Caenorhabditis elegans: one gene and its partners. The protein of the gene in region 2 interacts with the protein of the main gene of each other region in a pairwise test. Each region holds a gene or a part of one and is shown on either strand. Other genes may lie near its edges. The genes, in order: C18B2.5, mig-5, C17E7.4 and tac-1.

Evidence for each region.
Region 1: the proteins of mig-5 (region 2) and C18B2.5 interact in a two-hybrid assay, tested with the Caenorhabditis elegans proteins (2 studies listed by BioGRID).
Region 3: the proteins of mig-5 (region 2) and C17E7.4 interact in a two-hybrid assay, tested with the Caenorhabditis elegans proteins (3 studies listed by BioGRID).
Region 4: the proteins of mig-5 (region 2) and tac-1 interact in binary tests that used the Caenorhabditis elegans proteins (3 or more experiments, as listed by UniProt).

What each region holds. Positions count from the first base shown.
Region 1 is NC_003284.9:3,605,027-3,614,383, forward strand, and holds C18B2.5 (G domain-containing protein), read right to left. Parts: upstream 6,067-9,357; 5' UTR 6,065-6,066; coding exon 5,972-6,064; intron 5,914-5,971; coding exon 5,854-5,913; intron 5,804-5,853; coding exon 5,654-5,803; intron 5,607-5,653; coding exon 5,364-5,606; intron 5,316-5,363; coding exon 5,238-5,315; intron 5,173-5,237; coding exon 5,079-5,172; intron 4,803-5,078; coding exon 4,636-4,802; intron 4,583-4,635; coding exon 4,276-4,582; intron 3,569-4,275; coding exon 3,486-3,568; intron 3,431-3,485; coding exon 3,207-3,430; intron 3,151-3,206; coding exon 2,988-3,150; intron 2,942-2,987; coding exon 2,606-2,941; intron 1,955-2,605; coding exon 1,853-1,954; downstream 1-1,852. Other genes in the region: C18B2.4 (GRAM domain-containing protein), read right to left, coding at 1-24, 73-190, 241-354, 475-577, 647-708; del-9 (DEgenerin Like), read right to left, coding at 8,371-8,581, 8,877-8,958.
Region 2 is NC_003280.10:8,180,576-8,188,272, forward strand, and holds mig-5 (Segment polarity protein dishevelled homolog mig-5), read right to left. Parts: upstream 4,449-7,697; 5' UTR 4,434-4,448; coding exon 4,395-4,433; intron 4,329-4,394; coding exon 4,180-4,328; intron 4,126-4,179; coding exon 3,972-4,125; intron 3,931-3,971; coding exon 3,855-3,930; intron 3,803-3,854; coding exon 3,325-3,802; intron 3,283-3,324; coding exon 3,160-3,282; intron 3,114-3,159; coding exon 2,788-3,113; intron 2,740-2,787; coding exon 2,215-2,739; intron 2,065-2,214; coding exon of another isoform or gene 2,052-2,064; coding exon 1,903-2,051; 3' UTR 1,748-1,902; downstream 1-1,747. Other genes in the region: dylt-3 (DYnein Light chain (Tctex type)), read left to right, coding at 1,243-1,249, 1,295-1,734; cct-1 (T-complex protein 1 subunit alpha), read left to right, coding at 4,871-4,946, 4,991-5,414, 5,459-5,764, 5,810-6,466, 6,625-6,811; T05C12.8 (ANK_REP_REGION domain-containing protein), read right to left, coding at 7,038-7,259, 7,314-7,436. UniProt on the Caenorhabditis elegans protein: Plays a role in the signal transduction pathways mediated by multiple Wnt genes. Functions redundantly with other dishevelled family members throughout development.
Region 3 is NC_003283.11:3,889,373-3,896,215, reverse strand, and holds C17E7.4 (BZIP domain-containing protein), read right to left. Parts: upstream 3,363-6,843; 5' UTR 3,358-3,362; coding exon 3,280-3,357; intron 3,230-3,279; coding exon 2,594-3,229; intron 2,148-2,593; coding exon 1,871-2,147; intron 1,826-1,870; coding exon 1,722-1,825; 3' UTR 1,643-1,721; downstream 1-1,642. Other genes in the region: sre-9 (Serpentine Receptor, class E (Epsilon)), read right to left, coding at 306-463, 1,158-1,255; C17E7.12 (uncharacterized protein), read left to right, coding at 4,210-4,328, 4,997-5,141; C17E7.9 (uncharacterized protein), read left to right, coding at 5,355-5,554, 5,970-6,053, 6,111-6,237, 6,285-6,456, 6,509-6,590, 6,641-6,833.
Region 4 is NC_003280.10:14,750,634-14,756,650, forward strand, and holds tac-1 (Transforming acid coiled-coil-containing protein 1), read right to left. Parts: upstream 3,245-6,017; 5' UTR 3,243-3,244; coding exon 3,014-3,242; intron 2,951-3,013; coding exon 2,614-2,950; intron 2,562-2,613; coding exon 2,345-2,561; 3' UTR 2,258-2,344; downstream 1-2,257. Other genes in the region: smg-9 (Nonsense-mediated mRNA decay factor SMG9), read right to left, coding at 484-789, 1,626-1,856; Y54E2A.4 (Activating signal cointegrator 1 complex subunit 3), read left to right, coding at 4,036-4,072, 4,132-4,352, 4,400-4,597; Y54E2A.5 (uncharacterized protein), read right to left, coding at 5,346-5,633. UniProt on the Caenorhabditis elegans protein: Involved in microtubule formation, polymerization and assembly, regulating microtubule nucleation and length. Plays a role in pronuclear migration and mitotic and meiotic spindle elongation during early embryogenesis.

The DNA of each region.
Region 1 (9,357 bases), on a different chromosome or scaffold from region 2:
CAGCAAATGGACGAGCTCTAGATGCTGAAACAGAACCAAAACATTGATGGGAACTATTCAAGACAATCGTACCCATGTCAGCAGCGCGAAGAAGTGCCTCTCCAAACTCGATGCATCCTCCTTTCGGGAAAGACAAACGCCATTCCGGACATCCATCAAAGTTGCCTCCAGGCATTGGTTGAACCCATCCCTGAAAAATTAAAAATGTGACTGCAAGTCATTTAAGATTGAAAAAAAAACCTTGAGATAGTTTGGGGTGAGAAGTGGCTGTTCAAGTTTCACATCTCGCACTGAATTGAATGGCATCGCGAAGGATTTGAACTCATCTTTCTTGCTCTCGTTCATGAAAATTATCTGAAAAAATAAAGTTGAAATATTTGAAATTTAGGATCAAACGTTTTGGTTTTCAGCTAAAATGAAAAAAAAAACCTATCCAGAAATGAAAATTTGCAACTCAAAAACTTTAAAACTCACTCTGTGTGAAGTGAGATAGAGGGCTCCCGACTTGGTGGACTTGAACGCAGGAACATTGTACTTCTCGAACTTCAGCTTTACATTTGTTGTGTAGAGAAGAATCCTGAAATTATAAAAACTTATTTCATAATTTGAAAAGAATCAGTTTTGAGAAAGAATTTAAAAAACTTACATTTCTCCATTATAAATCAAAATGCCTTGGCCATCGGGTGTGTGCGACGTGTTGAGCGACATGGTGCTGCTGAAGAACAAAAAAAAATCAAAAATACTGCTTTTTAAGGAGGAAAATGGAATTAATGAGCAGATCGGGAATTGCGAAATACACGAAATCGACGAAAAACGGCATGGAATGGCGTGATGGCAACGTTTTCATACGGCGAGGGTAGCCAACACTGACTCACGACCCCGAGACCCGCAATGGAGCGCGTTTTCCATTGCCTTGTTTTCTGCGTCTCTCACAAGTCATGGCTCTCTAGTGAGTGGTGAGTGGCGAAAGACAAATAGTGTTTGCCATTAGATAGAGAGGGGAGTATCGATGCCATTAATCATGAATATGAAGGTTTATTATTATAAGGGCAGAATTGCCGGGAAATAAAGGTAATTAGGCAACGAGCTACTTTTGGAAAATTTTGAGTCGATTTTGGTCGTGTATTTAAACATTTCTGGAAAAAAAACAAGTAGTTGTATTAATTTGTTGAACAATTTGTGGTGAAAGTTAAAATAAATAAATAAGAGAACATTTATTATGTTAATTTGAAAGACTCTTAAAAATTTGGTGAATTCATTTGAAACTTTTCTGGTTTTTAAAGTAGATGTACTCCAAAGTATTCAAATGTTTCTTTTTTGTTTCTGTATAGTTCAACACATTATTATCCGGCCTAAGCTCCAAAAAGTTCGAATGTTATGTTCACAATTTTAATTCACTTTAAAATGAGTATCATCATTTGCTTTGAATTTTAAGGAACTTTTGAAAGTGATAGTATCTATCAATCTAGGCTTTCTCTGTACACTTTGAAAATTAAAATTTCCTGAAATTCGTTTTATACACTAGGTAATCATATTTGTAAAACTTGACACTTGTAATAGCGTTCCTCTTAACTGATATGTCGAAATTTCTAGAATTTCCTATAATATTATTTGTATTTTTGATTTAAATATCAATGAACAATATTATTCTGCCAAAAATTATATTAGTTCCTTAGCGAAAAGAAATGAAGCTGAAAAACAAAAAAAACGATTGATAGGGAATGTTTATCGAGTCGCGTTGGATAAAAATGTTAAGTCGAACAATAAATACAAAATGAGTGGATCGGAGATTAAATTGAAACCATTGAATCAGAAAACACAAATAATAATACTAATAATAATAAATTGTTTTTTAATACAACACTTTATCAGCAAACACTGGAGCTTGTTCGACTTTTTGTCCCTTGTTGTGTCGGAGGATGGCAACTAGTGGGTGGACAGTTTCTTGCAAATCCTGAAGTGAAAGATTTAATAAGGTAGTTTCAGAAGCATAGATAATAAGCTGACCTATCAAAACCGCAAAAATTAATATCATCTCTCACATTCGAACATTATTAATACAATTTTGAAAAGTGAGTTAATATGAGTTAAAAACTTGATATGAAAAAAGCTTAGAACTAAACCGAAAACAAAAATATATAAATATGTTTAAAAAAATTATTTAAATGTTCATAAGCACATTTGAAAAATTTTATGTCATAATTACTATAAAAACCGGAATAGTTTTCATGGAAAGTTTTCTATTTTGAATATTTGAAAGCCTTCCCATACATATGAAATAAATTAAAATTATGCTGAAGTTGGAGTTCAAAATATGTTAAAGTTTCATCAGATACAGTTTTTTCTGCATACGTTTTTCAATATAAGTTTGAATTGAATTTGATCCCGGACGGGTTGAAAAATAATCTTGAGACGCCTCAATTTATACTTATGTTCTTTGCTTTCATGTGATGATTTTTGAAAGATGATTTTTGAAAGCCAAAATTACTTTTCAAATAAAGTGTACTATTTTCAGTTATTTTCAACTAAACCGAGTTAAATACGCAGACTGAGACACCTAGTATTTTCAGTTTTAAATTTCACTTCCCCAACCCATAATATTTACTCTGAAAAGATTCTCCAACGAAGCTGTTCCGTGTGTCCAGTAGAGATTATGTTGAAGTTTGGAAATTCCTGTTGGGAGTGGTGCGAATCCCGAGTTGTTAACTTTGTAGTATTCAAGGAAAGAAATGTTGGCCTGTGTGAGACTTTTGATGGCAATTGGCTGTGGGAGAACTTCAGAGTTGGTGATAATCGGCAGAACGTTTGTTTTCAAATCGTCTCCGAACATTCTCTTAACATCAGCCAACTCATAAATGAACGGCCATCCCAGTTGATTCTCGTCGTGTCTCAAAACAATTGAGATTGCATCAAGACGGAAGGATCCAGATTTGAGAAGCTCCTAAAACGTGAAATTTAGAATTTTTTGCAAAGTTTCAATAGTTCACCTTCTCAAACCACTGCTTGATAAGTCGCGAGACCGTCTTGTTGCCCATTTTGTCCTCAACCCCGGGTGTGTCAACAACAGTGACGTTATAAGGAAGAACAGTGTTGTTGAAAACGTAGGCGGTGAGTCCAGTGGTTGCGTTCACATGCTCGTCCAAAACAAATCTGAAAAAAGAAGAATAATGAACATTATAACATTGAAAATTAAAAAATTAAGTTACCGGAAATCATTCTCCTTCTTAACATCATACAAATAGTTCATCATGCTGGTAATAGCAGAAGTCTTTCCAGAATTAACTGGACCGAACAGGAGCAGAGTCTTGTCATCGTCACTTGGTGGAGCATCTCCTCCAATGATAACCTTGTTGATCTTGTCATTCTTGGAGAAGTTTTCAACAACATAGTATTGTGGAACAACGAGCTCGTATTTTCCGCTGCTTGCAATCTAATAATTTTTAAGAATATTAAAATAATTTTCATATGAAAAATAAATGACTTACATGTTCTCCTGCTGCCTTTTGTTTAGCAGCTAGTGGGCTGACACGAGCTTCCTCCTCTTCGTAGATGCTTGAGTCCACGCTCTCTTAAATATTCGATATACGCAATAGAAAATTTAAATAATATGTTTTACATAGAAGTTCGCACAGAAAACGTTGATTGTACTCAGAAAATTGAACAAACAGAAAATTGAAAACTGCCACACATTTTTGCAGGTGCATGGTTTTTTTTCTTTTAAATAATTTATACACTTTTGTAGAGTGTGTGCAGTACACCTGGCCCGAAAGTTTTAACCATTTTAAAAATGTTCGTGATTTTTTTAAATCTACATTAGGCATGGGATTAGTGTTTCCTGAGCTTAAAAATGCAAATGTAGTTCAAGTTTTGATTATATTATCATTTTTGAAAGAAACGACTGAAAGCGTATTGGATAATAGTTTTGGGTATGGTATACTACACAAGTTCCTCTAGAGCATTGTGATCTTTTCGGAAGTGTTTTGGAAAGCCTCAAACTTTTGTAAAGCTTCTAACATTTTTGAAAGATTTGAAACAATTTTACACTTTCAAAAAAAAAAAAACTATCACGGTTATGTCAGCAAACCGCAACCTCTTCAAAAGCTCTATATCAAATTTTACGAAAACTACAGTAATCCTACCGTACTCCTGCAGTACTCCTACGGTACACTCACTTCGACCTCAGAAAAATGAAGCCTGATTATCTTGTTATTTTGGCAAGTTTGAGTGTTTGTTAAGACCGTGTTTATAAGTCTAATTAAATTCTCTAAAACTTACTTGAAGAATGGCTGGATTTCGGCTGTGGCGGCAAATGATGATGATCGTGCTCATGGCTGTACGAGCGAACGTGGTAGCCTTGTGGCTTCGCACCTTGTCCAATTTTGTTGACCTTCAATGAAGCTTCACGAGCCAAATTAGCATGAGTCATGCGGTCATTGTCAGCGCGTTGACGGTCAACTTGATGAGAGAGCTGAGCTTTTTTCGCGTGAGCATCTTCAACTTGGCGTTGAAGATTTCTCAGCTTCTGGGTTCCACCAGTGTGGAACGAAGCTTGGGTATGGGAAGAGTACACACTTCCTGGTGACTGTAAAAAGACTTTATTAATGATAATGAAGATTTTTTTGATAATTTTCTCACGCTGAGCTCAGAACGTGGGCGTTCATATGCCACTTCGTCATGATGAAGGTTGATTTCTTCACCATGGTAACGGTCATGCTCATCGTGAACATCGAATTGTCCGAAACGGCTTTCAGCAAACGATGCGGAGCTATCGATGGTGTTGGAACGATCACGGTGTGGTTGTGCTAAAATAACTTTTTTAAACATACATTGATTATATGCAACTTTTTTTAAAACTAACTAGTACTATTTCGGATACACTTACGACCCGCTTGAGTATAAAAATAGTCAAACATTTTTGAGCAGACAAGAGTATGACTAGTTATGTTCAATGTGCATAACAAAAGCCTACACCACTGTTCACTCCTCAATAACTGACTCATAGCAGAAATATGACCGTTGCAACTTATTTACATGCTTCTACAATTTTTTTTATTTCCGTCTTGAAAAGTGACACTCACCCGTTCTGATTGGATATTGATGATTCAGATTGAAGTGGTCACTTCTCTCGTCTTCATAATCCGGCTGCGGCTCAGATCCGTAGGCGTCGTAGTGCTGAAAATTACGAACTTACTTTGAATTCAAAACAATCTATTTTCAACACAATGCAAATAACTTGCATAGCTTTGAGAATTGATATTCAAATCGTTGAAAACATTGTTCACGACGAGACTTCCAGTTCGTGCAGCGGCATGCCTCTAAAACGGACCAACTTACCCGAATAGTTCCTAAAAATTGAAATTTACCTTGGCAGATCCGTTTGACACTACGCTTGCGTTTTGTGGGTGATGTTCGCTTGCATACTGATTTCTGTGCGAGCTAACATGAGATGTAACATGTGACGAGCTCACATGGCTTGGAGCTTGAAATGGTGGCTCACTGACGATGGACTCGTGATCCTCACCATACAAAGCTTCGTCGAGATGACGGAGAGCATCGTCATGTCCTCCGTGCAAGTTGACAGTTGGCAGTGTCACAGCGGAAAAGACCTTTAAAACGTTGTTGTGAAAAGTGGTTCAGTTAAAAATATAGTTACCGAGTTCATCAAATCGTCATTCACTGGAGTTGCATCGTAGTAATGCGAAATTGGGGTGACATTGACTGGTGGTGGTGGAGGTGCAGATACTGCATGTGGTGGATGGGACACCACAGTTGATGTCGCATGTGATCGGATTCCGTTTCCAATCTGGAAAAGTTTACAAGTATTATGAGCTCTATACCATAATGAACTCTTACCGGAACCTCTCTCACAGTGGATACACTCGAAGCAGTTGTCTTGCGGCTTCTATTTCCAGACTGAAATTATTTTCAAAATTTATTGGAAATACAAAAATTCTGCGAAATTTTTGGTTACCTCGGAAGATTTCACGTTGGTGGCAGATGTCAACGCTGGAAGGTTGCCAAAGACGTCATCCAAGTTGATGCTGACAGCCGTGCTTCGCGACATGTCTGTACAAAAGACACAATAATAGGAGTTGTTAAATTGTGGGAATGGAAAAATCGAGAACGATAAACAGTGAGAATTAAGAAAAATAGCAAAACAAACTTATGCTACATATAAAATATGATTATTTCTGCAAACTTTGCTCAACTATCATCAAAGACAAACCATTCCTATTGTACTCCCCGTGAAATTATATTTGAAACAGAAAAACCTGGCTGAAAACGGAGATGATTGACCGTGACGAAAGATCGGTAAAAGGCAAATTGCACGGTGTAATGGAGTGCAAAGACAGAAATGGCAGAGCACTGCTTAAAAGTTTCCTGTCAAACCGTGTCGCTTATCAATGCGTGCCACGCATTACACCTTCTCGCGTCAGGCGCCAAAAACGTATTGTATATGCAGCTAACAACCGTAACAATGGAACGAGAGTATTGACGAGTTAAATCAAAATAAAAAATCGGTGGAGAGCGCTGAACTGAACTGAGAGTGAGAGGGGATAAAAACAAAGTTCGCGTGTTGTTTGCCGAGACTAGCAGATGGTTGGGTTTTATTTCTACAAAAATGAGTAGATGCCATCATAATTTTGGAACGGGTCAAATTTTACAATACATCCCAATTGAAGGACATAATAGTTTACAGTTTAATTTGACTAGAAAATGGAACGAAAGTTCTTAAGATACAATCTTTTAGTGAAAAAAAAATCAGTTTCCAAGGCATTCCTCGATTTGAATCCAAAATAGATTTAAGAAAACTTTTTTGTTTTACCTGAAAGTTCAAAAGTTCAAAAAAAAAGAAAAGAAAACATAGCTTCATTATTCTTTCAAAAATTGAAAATGTAAAGAGTGGAATTTCTTCTTTGTGATAAGTTTCTTTCCAGTTATAGAACCCTGAAAAAACATGATAAACCACACGCATATCAATTCTCTGCCAGTTAAGTTTCAGGACTGTTTGCTCGCATGTAAAGGACTGAACACATTATTGCTTTTATTGAGAACAACATTGCATAAGATTGAATACTTTTGAAAAGAGGGGAAAAAAGAGATGCTGAACAAAAAAACGTGAACTGAAATTGGAAGAAAAAGGTGAAACCCATCAAATACATGTCTAGCGGAGGAAGGTTGGAAAAAAATACAAGCGAAAACAATTGAAAAATGAATAAGATTCTCCCGAGTTGATACCTTGCATTTGCGCATTTTTTTTTGATAGAAAATGTGTTTAATAATCTAGCATGAGAACACAATTATTTAAAAAAAAAAAACTCAACAAAAAAAATTAAGACCATGGTTCTTAATTTTTAGGTACCCAATGAGTAAGCACTTTGTTTCAAAAAAACGCAGGATTTTTTTTAGTTTTGAGTTCAATTAAAATAAATTATAATTTCAAAACAAAACGGTTCCATAGGAAAAAAGTTATTTTCACAATTGCTTTCGTTGGTCATAATTTTATTAGAAAATAAATTCAGTTTCAAATTTTTCAAAGGAATACTAACAAGCCGTGGTGATGACGAATAATGTAAAAATGACCTGAAATGAAAAAATGTGCTGAACAAAAACAAATTCAAAAATTTTCATGGCTTTTTATTTTATTTTTCAATTTAACTAAAGTTAGTTGAATTTTGTTTGAAATTTTGAACCGCCATAAAAATTCTTTACACGAAATAGTTACAATTGAGCATATTCTGAGTCTATTCGTTCAAAATACCCAGAACCGTCAGTCCTATTTTTTGAGCAAAACGCAAATGCAAGATAGGCAAAAGATCAGTACAGTAGATTGCATGAAGGAGGTAAGGAAAATGATTTGTGCAAAAATTATATAGTTTAGCGGGAAAAAAGAAAACAATCAGTGGGAGATGCTTATACAGTTTGAGATACATTTTATAAAATTTGTTCAGGTCTTTTAGTTATTAAAATTGAAGTAACGCCAATAGGAGTTTTACCAGAAAATGCACCAAAAAAAATACCCAACATGGGTCAAAAATAAGAATTCTAAGTTTTAGCAAATATTTAAAATTGAAAAAAAAAGTTGCACTTGGATTTTCAAAAAGTTTAAAGTCGGAGCAACAAAAACGTGAAAACTGAGTTTTTTAAACTTCCACTATTTGGCACTACTTCACAATTTACACAATTCTTTAACATGTTTTCAAAACATGAAAAAATGAATCAGGAAACTTTTCTGTATAAAAAATTATCTCAAACGTTTAAAACACACCCCACCATTCAATTTAAAACTAAATTATACCTGAAGCTGCCCGCAACAGCCATACATCAGACAGTTCATATGGTTGCCACCATGCAGCTCCAGTCCTCATGTCATATGGGAGGCGTCGTTTCTGATGTGTGCGTCGTTACCATTTCCACATTTACCACCTTGCCGTTGCCGTTCCCATTGTGCGGTTTCGGTGTTGACCGACTGTGTGACGTACTATTTCTGCGACGTCGTCGCATGTCGCGTCGTTGACGAGCCTCGTGGGCTTCTCGTGTCTCTCGACACCTCCGCCGTTGGCTTTTCAACCCGCAGAACCTACAAACATTATTATTCGTTGATATTTATATTGATATTATTCGAGAACAATGTTTTGATCAGTTCTTTCTATTTAACGCAAATCTGAACGCAAACATAGATTTTATCAGGTATTACTTTGTAGGATAGAACACAAATATTTGGTTTCGATTCATCAAACTGATTTCGATTTTTTCGCTCTACTTCAAACCCTAAATATGACGGTTTACGAGACAAGGCAGCAACAATTCCTGTACATTGCTCCTTATCAGTTTTATCGCTTTTGTCATACAAAATGATAATTTAAGACACGTACTTGTGCATAACGTATCGGACAGAGTAGATGACAATTTGACACAGTGAAATGAGGGATCCACCGGCGAACAGAGAGAATTGACCTGGAAAACGACAATTTTAATATTGCAATACACTAACTAACAGTTGGTATTTTTAAATTTTTATAAAGCTGTTAATTTGCAGTTTTCACCTATCGTAAATATAGAGGTTGACAAAAAAATATTTTCTACATTTTTAATATTCTAATTATGCTTTATTTTTCATTTAAACACCTCAGGCATTGTTTGTAAATGACGCATTTCTTGGAAAACTGTTAGTTTTTGAAAACTTCGGTCATATAAACTATGTCAATCTTATTAAGACAAAGTCCCTACTACCGCGATTCAAATTTTAAATTTACTGAATTATGCAACTTTAATCGAGGAGAGGATTCACAAATTCTTATCATTATACAATCATCATACAACTATGTAATTTACTCAAATTTTTTAAGAACTCAC
Region 2 (7,697 bases):
ATGAAAATATAGAAAAATATGTGATACCTTTTTGCTGTTAAATATCTTTTGACAAAATCAAAGATAACCGGCATGAGAGCTGTCAAAGTAGAGCAAACAGGATACAAGACTAATAAAAGAAATATAATAAAGGTGCATACATAAAGCATTCACTATAAAATAACTATGTTTTCCAATTTGTTTTCAAGAAGTTGCACAAAGCCATTTTAAATTAATTTTCATTGTTATAATTGAATATGAAGTTAAATTTTTCCATTCCAGAATTTACAGGAAATCTAATTAAATAGTTTGAATGGAAACAGAAAGAAACGTTCCACAAACCTTGATCAAGAGTCTGTAGACATTATTGAGGTGCGCATATTACAAAAAGATTTATTGAATGATAGATATAAGAGGGATAAGTGTTAATGACCGGCTCATCTACAAACAATTAAAGGATGAGAGAAAGTGTTTGTGATGAGAAAGGCAAACTTGCCATGACGGACCGGAAATACTTTTTGTCTATTGGACTGATGATGACTTTTTGGATATTAGAGGAACTTCAAAGGTGAAGGTTTTTTTCAGTAAATGTTTTGGTCACTTGCTACATTTCCAAAACTGTGCATTTTCTGAGTAATTCGCATCACATTTAAGTAAACATTTAAGAGTTAATGAAATTTCAAATTATGAGGAAATCATAGTAGGAAGCAGAACATTTTCCGTAAATCACTGATGGCAAGCTAATCAGTCAGCTTTCCCCCCACTATTCCTTCGAACCGTATTTCCGTCTTCCACCACCCACCTTTGTTAGCTCAACCGACCCCTGCAAACATGTCAATTTCGGATACGGAACGCCATCAACATTACACAATTTCTGTGTGTCCGGTGCTCCAAACTGGTGCACTTTTAGTGTAAAATCTGGTACAGAGCCGCGGAAACAAAACAAAAACTTAACAACACATTTTATAATAAAATTAATTTTTTCGCTCCCGGTCGGAGATGCTGTGCCCACACCTTTTTGCATTTAAAAACAATGTTTCGTGTCGAGACCAGGTACCGTGTTTTTGGCACAAAAAGCGCAAAATTTTCGGGTCTAATTGTAAGTAATATTTTGAATTGGCACTAAACACTTCGCCTTCAGAGCGTGTTCTAATTACACGCACTGTTAAAAAAATTTATACCAGATTCTAATATATATATCAAATTTAGAAAACAAATGTTTATCGCATAACTTTAATTATTTCATTCATTCCTTGTTTCAAAATGACAGGTTAGTTTTCTTTGTCACATTATGCAACATCATTTGAAATTTTAGACACTTCTACAACTTCTTCTGTAGCAAAGCGGCAAATTGAATCAAAAAACGCTCAGCTTTTGAGACAATTGATTGAAAAGAAAAATAAGAAACTCAAAAAGAAAGTCTATTCAAATGCCGAAGAACAAGAAATTGATTTAATTATTCAAAAATCATTTGATTCAATAATTGGTAAAACTCCATATTCTCCATTCAAAATGTCTGATTGGATGAGCAAGATGATCCAAACAATTTCGGATAATTTAGTGAAGCTCAATGGAAGCAAAAAGTTTTTGGTTCATTGTACTATTTCTGCAAAAACCGATAATCTTGCAATTTGCACGGCCAACATGTGCTCCTGGGATACTACGAAGGATACTGCATACTACTCGGAATGGATGTCTAAAACTATCTTCGGTGCTGTCCAAGTCTTCTTCATCACACATCGTTTTTCGAAGTGAACATCGTCATGAAGAAATTTAAAATAATTCATAAATAGACTCAAAATTACATGAATGAATGAAAACGTTAGTCTTACTGAAATACATGAAAACAGGGCATAGTTTTAAATATTAATAAAGCATGTGGGAATTAAGGCGAGAATCGGTAAAGGCAATGAGTTTTAAATTTTAAGTCCGTAAAATACGCGTTCTGCTGTTGCTACTGTTCTCCCCGTCGAAATCGTGGTTGACTGCGTTCTGCGACTGAATCGGAGAAGCTGCTAGAACCATAGTACTGGATAGAGGAGTCGGCGGAGGGCCTCCTAAGCCACCACTTCCTGGAATTTGTAACTAATTTGGTTGGGGAAATACTGTTATGTGAAAAGTCATTTGGATACAAAGGGTACAGTAGTCAAGAAACAGCAAATACTATATCAATTGAAATGAATATTTGCTTCAAATTTAACTCCTGCACCCTATAGAAACGATTAATTTTCTCACCGTTTGTCAAGCTTGAGGATGTCACTTGAGAAGGTGCCGGTACCTGACGGTGATTATTTTTCGTCCCAAAAACATGATAATTTCCGACTGGATTCATTCCAATTTGGCTTTCTCCGACCATCGATGCGTAATCATTTGTCATAGGACTCTCACAATCTCGACGTCTTCGAAGCCATGTTTGGTCATGAGCAACTGGGCTTAGAGTAGTGGTTTCTAATCGATGAGGAATATTTCTTCCAACTCGTGCTGCCAGAGCATGTGGTGCTGGTGAGCCAACATACGTCACTTCAGTAGTTGCTTCAACTCGCATTGTAGTTCCACTCGTACCAGTGGTGTCCGTGGAATTACGATCATTGCCAAGAATTCCATCACCGAATACATAGTAGCACTTTTCTGTGAATGTCAACTTGCTGACGACATGTCTGATAAGACCAGCAGCTAACAATCTCGCAGCATAGATTCTAGCTTTCTTCCGATTATGAATATCAGCCATGTGATCAACGAGCCAATCGACTAGATCTCGGCCTAAACGTTGATTGTTTGGATCCTAATACTTGAATGTTCAGTACTCACCAATAAAAGACATTGGAACCAAAATTTTCAGCCATTTTCGATTTTTGACAGCTAATCCTGAATCCGGACGAGCCATAGAACGAACAACAATAATGGGATCAATCATTTCTGTGAGTTGCTCTATTTTTTCATTTTGCTCATTTTCTCGTTTTCTTTCTGCTTCTTCAATCAAAGCTCTTGGAATTCCATTTCTACGTTGATCGTAAAGCATTCGCTCCTCATCATCAGAAGCTGTCGATGTAAATGGAAGAGTTCCGTCATCAATTGTAGTTGCCGTTTGCTCCTGTGGATCCAAACCCAGAGCTTTCATTTTTTCAGTGTTCTGCCTGTAAGTATCAAATTAAGAAAATAAATCTTGCGAGGTACCCTTACACAGCGGTTTCTACCCAAACTCCAACGTCGAGGGGCATCGTTTCAGACGCCATGGACGCGAGTGGATCATCATATTCACTTGGGGCACCTCTTGCAAACTTACTGATATAAAGAGTAATTGGTCTAAAAATTAAAAAAAATTAATGCTAATGCGTAGAAAAATACCTTTTGGAGGATGCAGCTTCTCTGAGCGAACGAACTGCTTGAGGCCCACTGAGTTCTTCAAAGGATACTCTATTAACTTGAAGAATCTGATCACCAACGTTCACACGTCCATCTTTTTCAACGGCACCTTCTGGTGCAATTTCGGAAACGAATATATGACCATCAATTGTGCACACGCTCAGTCCCAGATATGGAACATTTTTCATTGGTAGATAAATTTCCAGAATTCGAGGGAGGCCGCTGTTAACACTTGATTCCGTCGCTGAGCTAATAGTACTTGGAACATACGGTCTTCTGAATCTTTCTTTCTTTTGTTTTTTCCTTCTTCTATCGTCATCGTATATCTTATTCATATCACGAGCAGCGAGAGGTTCGTAGAGCGAAGAATCATCTCCTGTTCGACGTGTATGCTCGTCATATTGATACGGATCCTCTGAATTTGAAGTGTATAATTCTGCCAGATGCTCTCCTGCTCTTCCTGAAAAACGTTCATACAGGTTTTTAAGAGTACATAAATAGCAAAAACTCACTGCTAACAATGGTGCTCGGAGCAAGACTAGCATCAGAGTACGGAGTCGCGTCAAAGTCTGCACTTCGTCGGCGGCGCTTAAAATATCAGTTTTTTTTGAAAATAACAGAAATCGAACCTTATCTAGAGCAGTTCTCTGTGGTCGCGTCATTGTTCCACTGTTTCGAGGAAGAGTTCCATATCCTGGAGTGCTAACGAGAAAAATCTCATAAAATCCATTCTGGGATTTGCGCAGCCGATCCGAATCAGTTGTTAATTCGACTTTAACTTCTCTGAACATTTTTCAGTACAGAATAATTACAAAAATTAAAAAAGCCAAAACTCACCGTTGAATATCCGGGTCAAGTTCCTTCGCATAATACTTATATCCACGCTTGGTGAATGAATTTTTGAAATTTCCAAGCGTCGCTACTCCTTCTCTGGCTTCAATAACAGAAACATAGGGAGTCGTTTCATCGTCGAGATAGTAGAAGACCTGGAAGAAAATTATTTCTGTTTAATCACTGGCTTAATAAAAAACAATTCTGATCAAAATTCTTACTTTTATCTGGCTGCAGTCTGATGTGCATGGCGGCTCCATAAATGTTAGAAATCTGAATTCAATATTTTAAATTATAGACCAATAAAATATTTATAAAAATTACAAGAGGAAACAAAAAAAACAAATTTGTTTGCAAAGGACTAGCGGAAACAATTTTATTTTTAATTTATCGGCAATAAATCGCGGGTGGGAACAATGTTGCAAATACGCCCTAGTGACAGCTGGTGTTGGGTCTCGGCACGATTACCCTTCTAGCATGCATGAAGTACGATGCGCTCTGAGAATATTCTACAAGAATTTTAATTTTGATTCAGAATTCAAGGGATCCCCGATTTTCTGGAAGCATTTTTATTTTTACTGAAATATTTTCATTTTTACGTATATTTTTATTTTTGAGTGCTTATTCAAAGCCCCTTTTTGACTCAATATCGAATGTCCTACTCTATTGCTAAGTTAATACGGTTGTGTTTCAGGTAATGGCATCAGCTGGAGATTCCATTCTTGCCCTCACCGGTAAAAGAACTACTGGACAAGGCATCAGATCTCAGAATGGTAACACCGAAAGCTCAATATAAGTATACATTAATTAATTGCAGTCACCGCGGCAGTTGCGATCGCCAATATTGTGAAGTCATCTCTTGGCCCTGTCGGACTTGATAAAATGCTTGTCGATGATGTTGGAGATGTCATTGTCACAAATGACGGAGCCACAATTCTGAAACAACTCGAGGTTGAGCATCCGGCTGGAAAAGTGCTTGTAGAACTTGCACAGCTGCAAGACGAGGAGGTCGGAGATGGAACTACTTCTGTCGTTATTGTGGCGGCTGAGCTCTTGAAGAGAGCCGATGAGCTTGTGAAACAAAAAGTTCATCCGACGACTATTATCAATGGTTACCGTCTCGCGTGCAAGGAAGCCGTCAAGTACATTAGTGAAAACATCTCATTCACTTCCGACTCGATTGGTAGACAATCAGTTGTCAACGCTGCCAAAACTTCCATGAGCAGTAAGATTATCGGACCGTGAGTTTGGTGTTGTCTATGCTTCAAGAAAATTGATTTTTCAGAGACGCCGATTTCTTCGGAGAGCTGGTTGTTGATGCCGCGGAAGCTGTTCGTGTGGAAAATAACGGGAAAGTCACTTATCCTATCAATGCAGTCAATGTTCTGAAGGCCCACGGAAAGAGCGCTCGCGAATCAGTTTTGGTGAAAGGATATGCACTCAATTGCACAGTTGCCAGTCAGGCCATGCCACTTCGTGTTCAAAATGCCAAGATCGCATGTCTCGATTTCTCTTTGATGAAGGCTAAGATGCACCTCGGTATTTCAGTCGTTGTTGAAGATCCAGCCAAGCTTGAGGCTATTCGCAGAGAGTGAGTTGAAACTATTCGTTTCTTTTTAAGCTATGGAATTTTCAGAGAATTCGATATTACCAAACGCCGCATTGATAAAATTTTGAAAGCCGGAGCCAACGTTGTTCTTACAACTGGAGGTATCGATGATTTGTGCTTGAAGCAATTTGTCGAATCTGGAGCTATGGCTGTTCGTCGATGCAAGAAATCAGACTTGAAGAGAATTGCCAAAGCTACTGGAGCCACATTGACTGTTTCCTTGGCTACTTTGGAAGGAGATGAAGCTTTCGATGCCTCGCTTCTTGGACATGCCGATGAAATTGTTCAAGAAAGAATTAGTGACGACGAGCTCATTCTCATCAAGGGACCGAAATCTCGTACTGCCAGCAGCATTATCCTCCGTGGAGCGAACGATGTGATGCTCGATGAAATGGAGAGATCGGTTCACGACTCACTCTGTGTTGTTCGTAGAGTTCTGGAAAGCAAGAAACTTGTGGCTGGAGGAGGTGCTGTTGAGACTTCTCTCAGTCTTTTCCTTGAAACTTATGCACAAACCTTGTCTTCTCGCGAGCAGCTTGCTGTTGCTGAATTCGCTTCAGCGCTTCTCATCATTCCGAAGGTTTTGGCAAGCAATGCTGCAAGAGATTCTACTGATTTAGTGACAAAACTCCGCGCGTACCACTCCAAAGCTCAATTGATCCCACAACTTCAACACCTCAAGTGGTAAGTGAAAATGTTTTTTTTAAAGAGTAGGTTATTACATGTTAGCTTAATGTAATAAAATTAAAATAATTTATTTCAAAAAATTTCGTTTTGTGCTTAGAAAAAGCGTCTAATTCATGTTTTCTGAATTTGAGTCAGTTTATTCACTCTTTTTTTAGGGCTGGTTTGGATCTCGAAGAAGGCACGATCCGCGATAACAAGGAGGCTGGAATTTTGGAGCCAGCTCTTAGTAAGGTCAAGTCTCTGAAGTTCGCCACTGAGGCAGCCATTACGATATTGCGTATTGATGACCTCATCAAACTTGACAAGCAAGAGCCACTTGGAGGAGATGATTGCCACGCTTAAATTTTCCCGTTTACCCCGTTTATATATCCCTGTTTTCCGCGTGCTTCTCACATAATTCCGATCTGCTGCTCCTTATCCCAAATTCTCATGTTCAGCTTTTGTTTTCTTCTTTTGATGATACTTTATTGAACGAAATGTTGTAAGTTTTAATGTTTTGATTTCAAAGTTGTTTGTATTCGTTTTTCATTATTCAAACAATGAAGAAGCTTTGCCACATTTAGTTGTATTACTCATCGCCGCCCAGTGATGTGAAATCGCGATTTTTCGGATCACTGTTAGTACGACGGCGTAGGCTCAGTGGAGGGAGACGGACACCATTAGCAGTGCTGACAGTACTGGTCATCGGTTTATCCTTTGATGACCATCGGAACAATCCACTATTCGATGGACCTTCAGATGGTGGCGATTCCGATGATGATGAGTGTTGTGGAAGTCTCAAGTGATCCTCCTATAAAGAAAGAACCAATATTTTCTTTCAAATTGATCATAAATCTAGGTTTACCTCATTTGAATTTCCACTGGTTTGATATGACAATGGTTTGTTGGAAATTGATGAAGATCTGACAGCTGGTGCTGCAATTCGATCCGTTTGAACAACGGAAAGACTTTTCGTATGAAGTGGAGGCTGAAACGTTTTAAAACTGTAATAATGTTATCCTGACGTGCAATTTTGTGATCATTGCGCTGAAATTACGGTACCCGGTCTCGACACGAAATTGTTTTCTTTGATACAAACGGGTGTGCGCCTTTAAAGAGTACTGTACTCTAACTTGAAAATTTCGGTTTCCATGGATTTTTAATCGATTATTAGAAAGTTATGTATTTTAATTGTTTTTTCGTAGTTTTTTTATTCATAAAAAATATTTTTTAACGAACAACCATAAAC
Region 3 (6,843 bases), on a different chromosome or scaffold from region 2:
AAATTTAAATTATTGTAAAATATCGACCAAGGTTACCGAAAAATAAATGTTTTTGTTTGTAATGTTCAAATAATAATATAATTCTTGTAAACATAAACCAAGAAAAAAAACAGAATGTTTATAGAAAATAGTATAAGAAGCATTTAGATTTAGGTCGTGCTTTTATATATAGGCACCAAAACGCCTTTCTGCTTAACCTTAAGTTTTTAGGCAGGCGACAGGTTTTAGGCAGGCGTCAAGCCCTTAAACTTGTCTACTACTCCTACCTAGATCAAAGCAAATGATGTTCATGCAATGTGACTCACCGTCCAAACCTTCCCTCAAAATGATGAATGGCTGAATTACCCAAAAGCTTAGTTGAATCAAGTATTGTCCGTAATAGAAAGCGTTGATAATTCGAAAATTTGGATGCATGTTTTTTGCGGTGAGTATCACTAAGAACCAGAAGCTTATGGAAAGAAAACTGAAAATTTGTAATTGAACAAAAGAAAATACAGTCGCGACAGAACGATCGCTCCGCCAATTTTGCATGCGGCAAAGGGGCGTGGTTTATTGGGGACGGGATTCCGGCGCAACCCTGCGGCACGCTTTTTTCTCGCTTTTTTCGTGCGGTAATTTTCAGCTATTTTTTTTCGTTTTCTGTTCGAAATTTCACGATTTCGCTCGATTTTGTTCGTTTTTTCGCATAAAAAAGTGTTCAACTATTTTTTAAATGAAAAATAACCAAGTTTTCACAGATTTTACCCGAAAAATGCTTTGTTTGTCTCTTTTTTTGTAAATTACGATTGTTAAGAGAGAAAATGGGGGGAAAAAAAGGAAAATGTGAAGAGAAAACGTTTTTTTTTAACGTTTTGCATCGTATATTACAGAAAAAGAGACAAACGAAGCATTTTTTCAAGTAAAAACTGATAAAACTTGGTTATTTTTCATTTAAAAAATAGTTGAACACTTTTTTATCCGAAAAAACGAACAAAATCGAGCGAAATCGTGAAATTTCGAACAGAAAACGAATAAAAATAACTGAAAATTACCGCACGAAAAAAACGTGCCGCAGGGTTGCGCCGGAATCCCGCCCCCAATAAACCACGCCCCTTTGCCGCATGCAAAATTGGCGGAGCGATCGTTCTGTCGCGACAGTATAACGCGGAAACTCATACCTAACAATAATAAGCAAAACTTCAAATATCAAAAACCCCTGGAAAGTATCCCAGCTTCCGACCTGAGCAGCATGGGTTCTGTTAAAGTATCCGAGCATCTCTGGAATTTTTATGAGCAATTTCTAACAAAAGCGAGGTAAAACTGAATAAAAAATATAGTAAAAGTAAATGTAGTTAGGCGAGTTAGGCAATGTTTGGCCGATATACATAAATACGAAAAGCGGAAATTATCGAAGACGACCCACACGAATTGTGTCCCTAGTGACGGTGCCCGGCGGCAAAAACAATATCTCTCAATATATTCGCTTTCTGTGAAATCGGCGCGAAAAGCATAAAATCGAATATAACATGAATTGTATTCTAATGGACTTGTTATCCATTGAGGACAGAACGAAATGAGGAGGGAGCGTGAAGAATAGGACGAGAAAAAAAAATCTAATCCCTATAAATTGAGAGTTGTTCGATTTTTTGATTCATCGTTCTTTCAGGACTTACTAGCGGTTTATTAAAATTGAAAAAAATAGAATTGACAAAATACAAAGATATACATTAATTAATAAATAGTTAGTTAGTATTGGAAGCCTGTGGGCTTGAAACAAAATAGTCCTGCTCTTGACGATAGTTTTTGACCTCGTCCTCGTCATCATTGTCGTAGGAATTTGTGGGACCTGAAAAAATGATAGAATGTTTAGAAACAATTTATCAGAACCTACCATTAGAAAAGTTCTTGAGAAAACTGACGTCCGACGGATTAACAAGTGATTCGCCGGCGCCATCGCTCCCGTTTGTCGTCGGCGTGTGGCTCATCGAGCTGCTGCACAGCGAAGATAGGTTCTCATTGTACAGGTAGCTTGGCGGTCCACTATTGAGAAAATCCATGGAACGATGAAATGGAAGTGGCGGGTTGGGATAGGCGAAGCTTCGTGGAGCAGGAAATTGTGGAGTTTGGAATGGAGATGGCAGCATTGGATTTTGGAGATTTTGCATAGACTGAAAATATGTTTTTTGATAATTTAATAATATTGGTGGCCGCTAGCAATCTAGAGGTCACGAGTTCAAGCCCTTCCTCCCAATAGGCTCACCCAGATTGAGAAGTAGAACAATTCATTGTTGGTTTCTACAGTCTTCGGCTTAAACTCAGCTAAAGCTAAATACCAGGGGAACCACCACCCAGAAAAGGTTCCGATCTCTAGTGTCTAGGACACCGTATTTTCTGAAAATGCAATCGTGCCCTAATGGGAAAATTGGGAGTGGCGAGGACCTTTAGAGATGGATGGTGCAGGCCTAGAAGGATATTTGAAATTAACGTGATGGAGCAGGGTGCAGGGAAATAAATCGTTGAATTACCTTTACCCGAGAAGAATTACAACTTAAAATTTTGCAAAGAACTTGGAGCATATATGGTAGGCGAAAAAATGAAGGCCCCGAAACTCTACCTGAAATGCGCCATAGCTCGGAGACATGGTCTGTAGTTGCTCGCACTTGCTCTCCAATTGCTCACATTTTGCCTTATACCGTCTCATCTCCTTCTTGTACTGGTCTCGTTCCTTTTTCAACTGCTCCAGTTGTTGAGCCGACGCCATACAATAGGCCATATTGGACATCACGCTTTGAATGCTTTCTCTCTCCTGTTCATACCGTTCCTGCTTTCGCCTCTCCTCACGCCGTTGTTTTTCCGAATTCTCCCATTTTTGCATGTAGTACCGGCTTTTTCGTTCGAGCATCGCTTCATTATCCTCATCATCACCTTCTTTTTGATCTCTTTTTGCAAACTCCATTGATGAGGATTCCCGAATTTTATGATTTCTAGATCCTCGCTCAAAGTCATCAATTTGGAAATCTTGCCGGCTCGAGCTTGAAGCTCCAAGTGGGAAGGTCCTGGGCAACTTGTTGGATCTACTGTAGGCAGCAGCATTGAAGTCATCACGGCCGCCCGGACAGCTTTGAGGCCCTTTGCGAAGTTTCGGTGCACTTGTCGTGTGATAGGCGGCAGTCGGTGGGAGCATACAATCATCGGCAAAACGGGCGGTTGGCTGACGTTTCAGCGACATTGAGCGTACGCACGGATTGAACTGAAACCGGGGGGAATCGATTGAAATAATATTCGATAAAAGGTACAAACCACTGTGTAATCGTCGTCGTTTTCGTTTTCCTTTCGGGACTTTTTGCCCTTGAAAATTGTTCGAAATAGTCCAGCCATTTTCTAAAAATCTTTTCATTGCTTTTTGTGGAGATAAGCTTAGGAAATTAAAATACATTCTTATTTTTTAAACGGGAAGAAGAGTAGCTGTGAGAGTTTAAAATTCAAAAAGAAAAACTGTTTCAAAAAAAAAATCGATCCGTCCAAAACTAGGTCATCCTTTGCGGGAGAAAGACGAAAACAACTGGGCTCTCCTCTTCCCTCATCTTCTCATTTCCCGCCTACCACTGAAAAGGTCAGAATTCTGCATACACCGTGACGCGCACATGAACAGAACCGCAGTCGCGCGGAGGAGGAGGAGGAGGGAGGTCCCATGTTTGTGTTTTTGCGCGCGCGAAGGAGGGACTATTTGACCCACAACGCGGGCGCTCAGGTTTTGTAATCATTTTCTTTGTTTCTTTTCTGTTGTACTCCTCTGTTGCGGTTTTTTATTGCCACGTGAATAGACAACACTTTTTGCTCAGTTTTTTTTTTTGAAATCTTGAAATCTTGAAATCTTTTTTTGAAAGTTTGAAAAATTATCTCGATTTTCTCAATTTTAGCTTGCGTCTGGTGCCACTCTTCAACTTTTTTTTGAGTTAGAGACTTTCTAGATTTGCAAAATAGTTTCTCAACTCATTAAAATCATTAGGAGTAAAAAAACAAACTTGAGCCGAAATACATGATTCTGAGAATCTAAGGATAAGTACCTAAACTTGAGAAGTACTCCTCTTGTGTTAAATCCTATAATTTTTATAATACGTATATTTGAAATTTCAAACAATGTGACCAAAAAGTGGTGTCAATTTTTCTCCGTATTTTGTTTGTTTTCTACCCCTCATTTCATTCAAACAAATTTTTTTTGCAGCAAAAATGGATAATGTTCTAAACATCAAAAACGAGGAGGACTGGAAATTTGTGCTCCCCACGTTTGGACCAGCTGCCGGAATCACACTTCTCGTTGCTGCCGTCTCCTTCTCCTGTCTGGGATAGTAAGTTTCTTTGTTTTCCTACCGGTGTAATCGCGCGCTAATGAGAAAGTTGAACGACAAGGGGACATGGAAGGGTGCAGCACGTGGTGCCAGGTTGCCCAATCACGGTTTGATCAACAAAAAATGCGGGAAGTTTCCGGCCAAAAAAATGTGACGTCAGCCTGATCTTAACCATACGAAATCAGTTGAGAAGTCTGCGTCTCTTCTCCCGCATTTTTTGTAGATCAACGTAGATCAAACCGAGATGGGACACTCTGACACCACGTGGTGGCAACATATTACGAAACTATGAGATCATGAGAATGCCTATTGACTGGCCCGAAAATATTGGCAGGCCGCAGCAGCGAGAGAGCGTGTGGCAAAGAGAGACGCAGGTCCCTTCGCTACGAGATATTTGCCGTCAGAAAAGTAGGCATTCTCATGATCTCGTGGTTTCGTAATAGAGAGATTACTAAAAAATAGCGCAGTGGTGCATAAATCAAATTTTGACTTCACGGGCACTGAAAAAATCTAAAAATCTTAAACCCCCGAAACACGTGAAATATTTTTTCTCATAAGTGTGACGTCACACTGGAAAGTTCTTCCATGACGTCACACTACCGTAAAAAGAGGTTTCTATTTATTCTAGAAATCCCATTGAAAGCATGTAATGTAAAATTAATTTTCAGTCATTTCTACCGAAAACGCCAAGCCGCCATCGAGGAGTCCAAACGTCAGGGAGCTGAAAACCGACAGATTCACGAGAACATGCGAAGAGAGCGAGAAGCCAGCATGTCGCCACAGGACATGCCTATTGAGATGCAAAATTTCTAATTGTCACTTTTTTTGAATTCTAATCTTGAAATATAATCTTGATCTCAAAATTCTTTGTTCACAAATACTTCTTAAGTTGTGTATGATGTAAATTTGATTGATTTTTGAAATTTGCGATTCCATTTTTCATTAATTTTAACCAACGACAGTTTGATCTGGAACATACCTATGATCTATGACCAATTTTCTTATTGTTTTCATATCAATTTTTAGATGCGCTGGCTCGTGTGGCTCAGTCTGTTCCTGCTCCCCATCGCTACTTCGAAGGTTACTCAACAGGAGGCGAAACCAACATTCTGGCATTCGGATCATGTGTACGGTCACATCGCTGAGTTCTTCTGGTGCCGAACAAAGAAAAAGGCCGAGGAAGCAGGCGAGCTTCTTGGTCCAGTTCGACAGGCTCTTTTTGAACAGTGAGTTGGGTTTTGAATTAATCCATGATCGTCAGGCTACCATATTATTTGAGGTCCTTATTTTGACATTACCTCTAGAAAATTACATTCAAAATTGAATTTTTCAAAATTTTGACTAGGTCAGGTTTCAGTAGACCTTCTTGGCTAAAGGTCTAAAAAGGTTTACCAACTTATAGGTCATTTCCTGGGGTAATTTCAAAATTAGGACTCCAATTAATATCATGGGCTGACATCTGACGGGTTCCCAGCTCACTACGAGGTAATCTTAGTGCGGAGCAGAACCCGGTAGATGTCGGGCCATCAAATCATTTGGGGTTCTTATTTTGGCATTACCTCTAGAACATAACCCTAAAAGTGAGATTGTCCCAAGGAAAATTTTTTATTTCAAGTCACGGGTTTCTAGCCTTCCTCACTGAATTTTCCGCGCTCCATTGACAATCGCCTGCCGGACAACGCGTGGGAAAATCGTGTACTCCACACGGAGAGATAATTGTCTGGCGTAGGTGTTCCAAAGTTTGCCTAGAGTCTTGATCAACAGCACACACACATTTTTCAGAGGCAGTGCGCTCAATGAGATGCTGCGAGCGGAGAACCGAGGTGAAAATTCGCAGGTCATCGTCGAGATGGTTGTTCTGCAAGAGGAGGAGAAGTACAGAGACTGGGACCCGATTTGGATTCGAAAGGTACCGCCTAACTGTTCAGCTTGATAAAACTGTGTTTCCAATTTCAGAAAGAGCCGTATGGCTTCTCGCGTATTCGAATTTTCATCAACGAGCCGTCGGACAGCGAGGTCAGCAAATTCTGCAAAACCTGGCCATATCCGACGACTGGTTTCCCGACTTTGGTGGCAATTAGCGAATTCTTCTATGCTCCCGTGTTGGTTTGCCAATTTGGAGTTCCAAGTTAGTGAAGAATTTATTTTCCTCAATACTTTAGAAAATAATAATTTTTTAGCGTGCGATCTTGGCAAGATGCTCCTTATCATTTGGATCATTGTTACTTTTGCCATTGCTTTCTGCGTCATGACTTGCTCACTGTGAGTATTTTGATTCAATACATATATGAAACCAACATTTCAAATTTTAGGTGGAACTCTGAAATTCTGGTACTGAAAAAAACGGAAGATTCAAGGCAGTTTGGAATGCAAAACTTGGCTCGCGAGAACGTTCATGAAGGCCTTGCGGACGGAACTCAGGTCACTACAACCGTATTCAGAGGCCCACGAGAAAATGAGGGAAGAGTCGTGCTCAATCGCGGCTGCAAGCCAATCGTTCGCTGAAACTAGTACT
Region 4 (6,017 bases), 6.6 Mb from region 2:
CAAACCGGCAAATTGTCAGAATTGAAAATTTCAGGCAAGCTGTCGGAATTGAAAACATCCGGCAAATCGGCAAATCGGTTAAATGCCGTAATTGAAATTTCCGGAAAATCGCAAAATCGGCAAATTGCCAGAATTGATTATTTCCGGCAAATCGGCAAACCGGCAATTGCCGAATTTCTCAACAAAAAATTTGCCGAAATTGAAAATTTCTGGCAAATCGGCAATTTGTCGAAAATGAAAATTTCCGGCATATTGGCACACCGGAAAATTGTCGGAACTGAAAATTTCCGGCAAATCGGCAAATTGCCGGAATTGAAATTTCCGGCTAATCGGCAATTTGTCGAATTTGTTGGCGAAAATCCGTCCACCCCTGATCTCATTAATTTAAATGAAAAACTAATTTCGTGGCAAGACCTTTACAGAACTTTTCGTGCGCCTTTAAACCAATTTTTCCGATTTTTTGTGTCTAAAATGCTTCCTCACATCACTCATCGCAGTGGAATCATCGAATCGTCCACCTCGAACCTTCGGAAGGCCTTCCATAATCGAAAAACTGTACATTGGCTGACAATCCAAGAAAATTTGATGATTTACAATATAAATATCGATTTGAATTGTTTGATGTCGTGATTGTTCGTTGGCTTCTCGAGAAACTGGCCGAAAAACGTATTCCCTGTACATTTGACGTGAATTATTCCCTGCCAACATGCTCAGCAATGTGGATTTTCCGGCGCCCTGCGGCCCGATCGCAGAGATAACGTTGAAGTTGGGGCTCGATGTGAGGAGATCCTGGAAAAATTACAAATGCGCTCCACGGTCAACTCCACCCCCGAATAATGGGTCTCGTTAGTTGTTTGGCGGCGAAACCGTAATTTTAAAAATTTTCAAGTTTTTCGTTTTTTTGTTTTTGAACTTTTTCAAGCTATTTTTCGTAATTTTTTTGTCAATTTTCAAGGATTTTTCGACCTTTTTTTGTCGATTTTCAAGCATTTTTTGTAATGTTTTTTTCAATTTTCTAGCAATTTTTGTAATTTTTTTGTGTCAATGTTCAAGTAGTTTTCGTGCTTCTTTCTTCAATTTTCAAGCATTTATCGTGTTTTTTTTTACATTTTCAAGAATTTTTTTGTAATTTTTTGTCAATTTTCAAGAATTTTTCGTGTTTTTTGTTTAACATTTTCAAGCAATTTTTGTAATTTTTTTTGTCAATTTTCAAGCATTTTTCGTTTTTTTCGTCGTCTTCTGTTTTTTTAATGTGTTGAAATTTTTTGTTGAAATTATAAATGATAAATGCTTGAAAACTGTCAAAAGGGACGAAAAATGCTTAAAAAATTGACAAAAAATACGAAAAATGCTTTAAAATTAGCAAGAAGCACAAAAAACTTAAGAAATTTGACAAAAAATGCTTCAAAATTGAGAAAAAACACAAAAAATGCTTCAAAATTGAGAAAAAGTACGAAAAATGCTTGAACATTTTTCAAATTAATTTTTAAAATTTTGGAAGCATTTGAATTTACGAGCAAACCCTAACGAGACCCATAGTTCGGTGGAGCGCGTTTTCACGTCTCCAATTTCAAGAAGCCATTTTTCTGCGTCTCCATAATAAATTATTAAAATAAAAAACACACTGAAATCGCATCGGAAATCTCTCCGAAATCCGTCAAAAATCGCACAGACTCCTTCATCGCTTTTTGCGATGGCTCGATGACCGTAGCGGCGGTAGGCGCCACGTCATCGGCCACCGGACGTGTTTTGATGGCGATTTTCGGTGCTCCATGAGTTGGGCTCGCTGTGGAGGGTCGGGCAGCGCCTCCTGCAGATGATGGCCGAGATGTTTTCAGAATTTCCACTTTTTTCATCTGGAAAATTGCAAGATTTTAATAGAAATTTTGAAAGTTTTGCATACATTTTAATCAAAAAATTCGCTCAAAATCCATGCGGCAGTCTGAAAAGAGGTGTGCGCCTTTAAAGATTACTGTAGGAATTTTATTGACTTTTATTACAAAAACCTCGTAACAACGCATAAATTGTTTGGAAAAACAAGTGAGAACTAAAAAAATCAAAACAAATTCGGCCTGGAAATTACAGTACACTTTAAAGGCGCACACATGCTTGCATTTGGCAAATGTTTTTCGTGTCGAGACCGGGCGCTGTATCTTTGGCGCGAAAATTTAGAAGATTGTAGTTTTTCTCGGTAAAATACTGAAACGAAGCCTTTTGTACTTGTTTCTCATACAAATAATCTGGAAAACAAATAAATAAGCTGAAAAATTCATGTACAATTAGAAAATATAAGGCGGAAAGCGAAAAGGCGGGGGGAAGAAATATTATATTTTACAGAAATAAATTATGCATCCGTCGAAATAACGGACATCCCATCGGAAACGTCGACATCATTCAGAAGTTGATCGCAAATCTGTGAGAGCTCCGACACGCGGTTCGTGAGCACCTTGATCTCGTCGTTCTTGCTGGAGAGCTCGATTTCCTGGCGTTTTACACGCAGACGGAGTCCCTTTGTGTTCTCATCGTGGGATCGGAGAAGATCGTCGTACTCCACGGATGCTCTGAATTGAAATATATTCTTACATGTTGCAAATTAAATTTTCTCTCACTCACCTCTCAAGCTCAGAATTCGCATTATCCTTGACGGCGAGGAACTTTGCCTGCCACTCGTCAACTTCGGCGGCGGCGAGCTTCAGCTTGTCCCTCGCGTCCTCGTACTCGCCGCGGATGTCGTTGGCGGCTTCGCGAACCGTGTTGAACGAGGCGAACAGTGTCGCGTAGTTGGCGTGGAGCTTGTCGGCTTCGGCACGGGCGGCATCTCGATCTTTCAGCGCTTTTTCGAGCTCCTCGCTTGATGCCCCGCCGCCTCCGATGCCGTTTCCTGGCGTTGTTCCGTTGCAGCGGCCTTGTGAGATGATTTGGCCGTTTGAGCAGCGACGGACTTCGAATTCTGAAATTAATATGGTTTTATTCCTCTTAAAATCTCTTTTAGCAATTTTTCAAAGCTTCTCACCATCCGAGTGCAAGAGCCGCTCGATCAACTCTGTGAGCGCCTTCGTCGTGTGCTTCATCACAATGATGTCGCCTCTCGTGGCACCGCACAGTGTCTCCACTGAAGAACTGGGCTCCGCGGCTTCTTCAACCTCTGGCTCCTCGTTCTCCGGATGCCCATTTTGCGACCCGTTGAATGGGATGACGACCTCGGTTCCGTCCTCTTTGGTGAAGGTTGTGTTGAGCGACATCTGAAAATCGGATGAATTTAATAGAAAAAACCGACATTTTTCGTGAAAAACGGAGAAAATTAACGATTCTTCAGTTTTCCCGCGTCATCATTTATTTTCGTGGTAGGAAAATTGTTTTGAAGATTAGTATGCGCCTTTAAAACTTCTGTAGTTCAATTTTCTTGTTTTACAAGGCTTTACAAGAGGGTTTCAAAATAATTGAAACAAATTTTTAATTAAAAAAGTCATTTTTTAATTTTTAATTCAAAAAAAATCAGTAAAAACCATAACCAACAACAAAAAAAGCACGAAAAAAGAGTCCACAAGAGTAATCGTGGCGGGAAAATCAATACAAAAATTGGACTGCGCCTTTAAAAAGTACTGTAGAATTTTTTTAAAAACATTTTTTGTTATCTTTCAATTTTCAATGTTTCTCTTCATTTTAAACTATTTTAATGATTAAAAACACATCTTTATTGCGAAAAAAATTAATATAATACACTTTTGCATAAAAAACCGCCAAATAAAAGTGCAGTTGGCCTAGAAAGCGCTAGGTCAGAGAAGGGAAGCGGCCAGGACCTTATTTTGTTCATTTTTATTAATTTTCACCTTAAAACAGAGAAAAAAACAAAAATATTTGGCAATTAAACAAAATAGAAATTAAAAGTAATTAAAACTTAAAACTTCAGAAAAAAATCGATTTTTCAAAAATTGCGAAATTTTGAACAATGTTTGAACATCCTTCTCTCTTGAAAAATATAGTTTTTCATTTTAATTTTAATTCTAATTTTACAGCTGCCAAACTAGGTACAAAATGGATCTTCTCAACTATATCGAACGAATTGGAGATGGTTAGTTAGCTTTTTTTCCATTTTTTTATTAAAAAAATTTTTACCAGATGTTTTTTCAGATCCACCCTCACCATCACGGGTAGCAAGCTTCCACCAGGAAATTCAAATTCGATTTCCATCGGAATTTCTAGAATGGTCGAATTGTGAAGCTGAACAAGAAGGTTTTTCAGAAGCTCCAGAAGCTCTTTCCCTACCCCAAGTGCCTTCTACCTCGGGCTCTGGGAGCATTTTTCAGCCGATTGCTGACACATTGCTTATATATTTTCCAGATACGTTTGAGGTTGATTTTCGGCTAAAAAATCAAGTTTCTAACCTATTTTCCTTCAGACAATATCCCAAAACCTTCTACAAATGTTGTGCTCGACACGTTCCGATATGGATCTACAGGGCGAGCTCATCGATCTTCTCGGCGTCGAATTGTTCGAATTAGCCGGAGATATACTCGAAAAACGGAATAAAATAGTTTTCGAGGTGAAGAGCCAGGAGCTGGCGAAAGTTGAGCATGCGAGGCAGGCGAAGGCGAAGGTAATAGTTTTGAAAATTTTAAAAATTTGCTCTAAATGGCAGAATATAACAGTGAAAAAATTTATAAAAATTTTCTAATTTTTTTTTGATTTTTTGAATTTGGTTTTCTGGCTGTTTTTTTTATTTTTTTTCCATTTTTTACAATTTGGAACATAATTTGTCAATTTTTCGGACATTTTTCCACAAAAAACGTTTTTCAAAAATTAAATTATCGATTTTAGGCTAATTTTAGAGTTTCAACAAGTTTTTTACGGAAAAATTTCTGAAAATTTTATAAATTTTGTTTAAAATTGTGACATAACGAAAAATAAAGAAAAACCAGATAAAACAGTCGGAAAACGCAAAAAAGGCCAAAAAGACCAAAAAGCCAAAATCAGGCCAAAAAAAAGGTCAAAAGAACTGATTTTTTTTGAATTCCAGAGTAAAAAAAGTGACGTCACTTTCGCGTTCTCTGACTTTAATTGATTTTTCTTCAATTTTTCAGCAAATTTCATTACGAAAGAATGTCTGAAAAATCCACAAATTATGTTTCAAGTTATAAAACAGAGAAATATCAATTAAAATAGCCGGAAAAACGCAAAAATGTCGAAAATGACGTCACTCGCTTTGCGCGGGAATTTAAAATTTAATAATATTTCTGTTTAGCCCTTTTTATTTTTGTTTTCAAAATATAAAAAATCATGACAAAAATTTAGAAAAAAAAAATTAAAAAACAACAAAAAAGATTTTCGCAAAAAAAAGCTCATATTTATTCGACCTGAATACAGTTCTTAAAAAACGAGATTGCCAACGCCAAAATGATGACCAACGAGGCTGAATATCCGATTCCTCCCTGAACACAACGATCATTGCAAATCACGAATTCGGACAATGTTCTGTGACGTTTCACATAGCGAATTGCGGTTGTATTCGTTTTTCCTCCGGATTTTCTAATCGATGCACCATGAGCTCCATTCGTTTTCGGTGGCTTGATTTCTACAAATTCCTGGAAGTTGACGGCTGCCGAGGTGTCACATCCGATGGCGTTTCGCACTTTCTGAATGAGAAAAGCTGTGAGAAATTGGTTAAACTAGGCGAATTTTCTACAAATTGCTTTATTAGACTTGGAATTGTCTAAAACGCCGAATCTCCTAATGAATCTTCTTGAAAACTTCTCAAAAAAAAAAAGTTATGACGGCTCAAAAAAAATGACATAAAATTCGTTAAAATTTGAAATTTGACTTGTCAGCGGCTGGAAACTAACTTTTTTGAAATGGTCGTCTAATTTTGGATGTATAAGTTAATTAACTTGCGTTTTCAACTCGATTTAGGTACATTTAAGGTCTTCTGGCCTTTCAAACCGAGTTGAAAACGCATGATAATTATTGTACACCCAAAATTAGACGGTAATTTCAAAAAAGTTAGTTTCCAACCGTTTGGC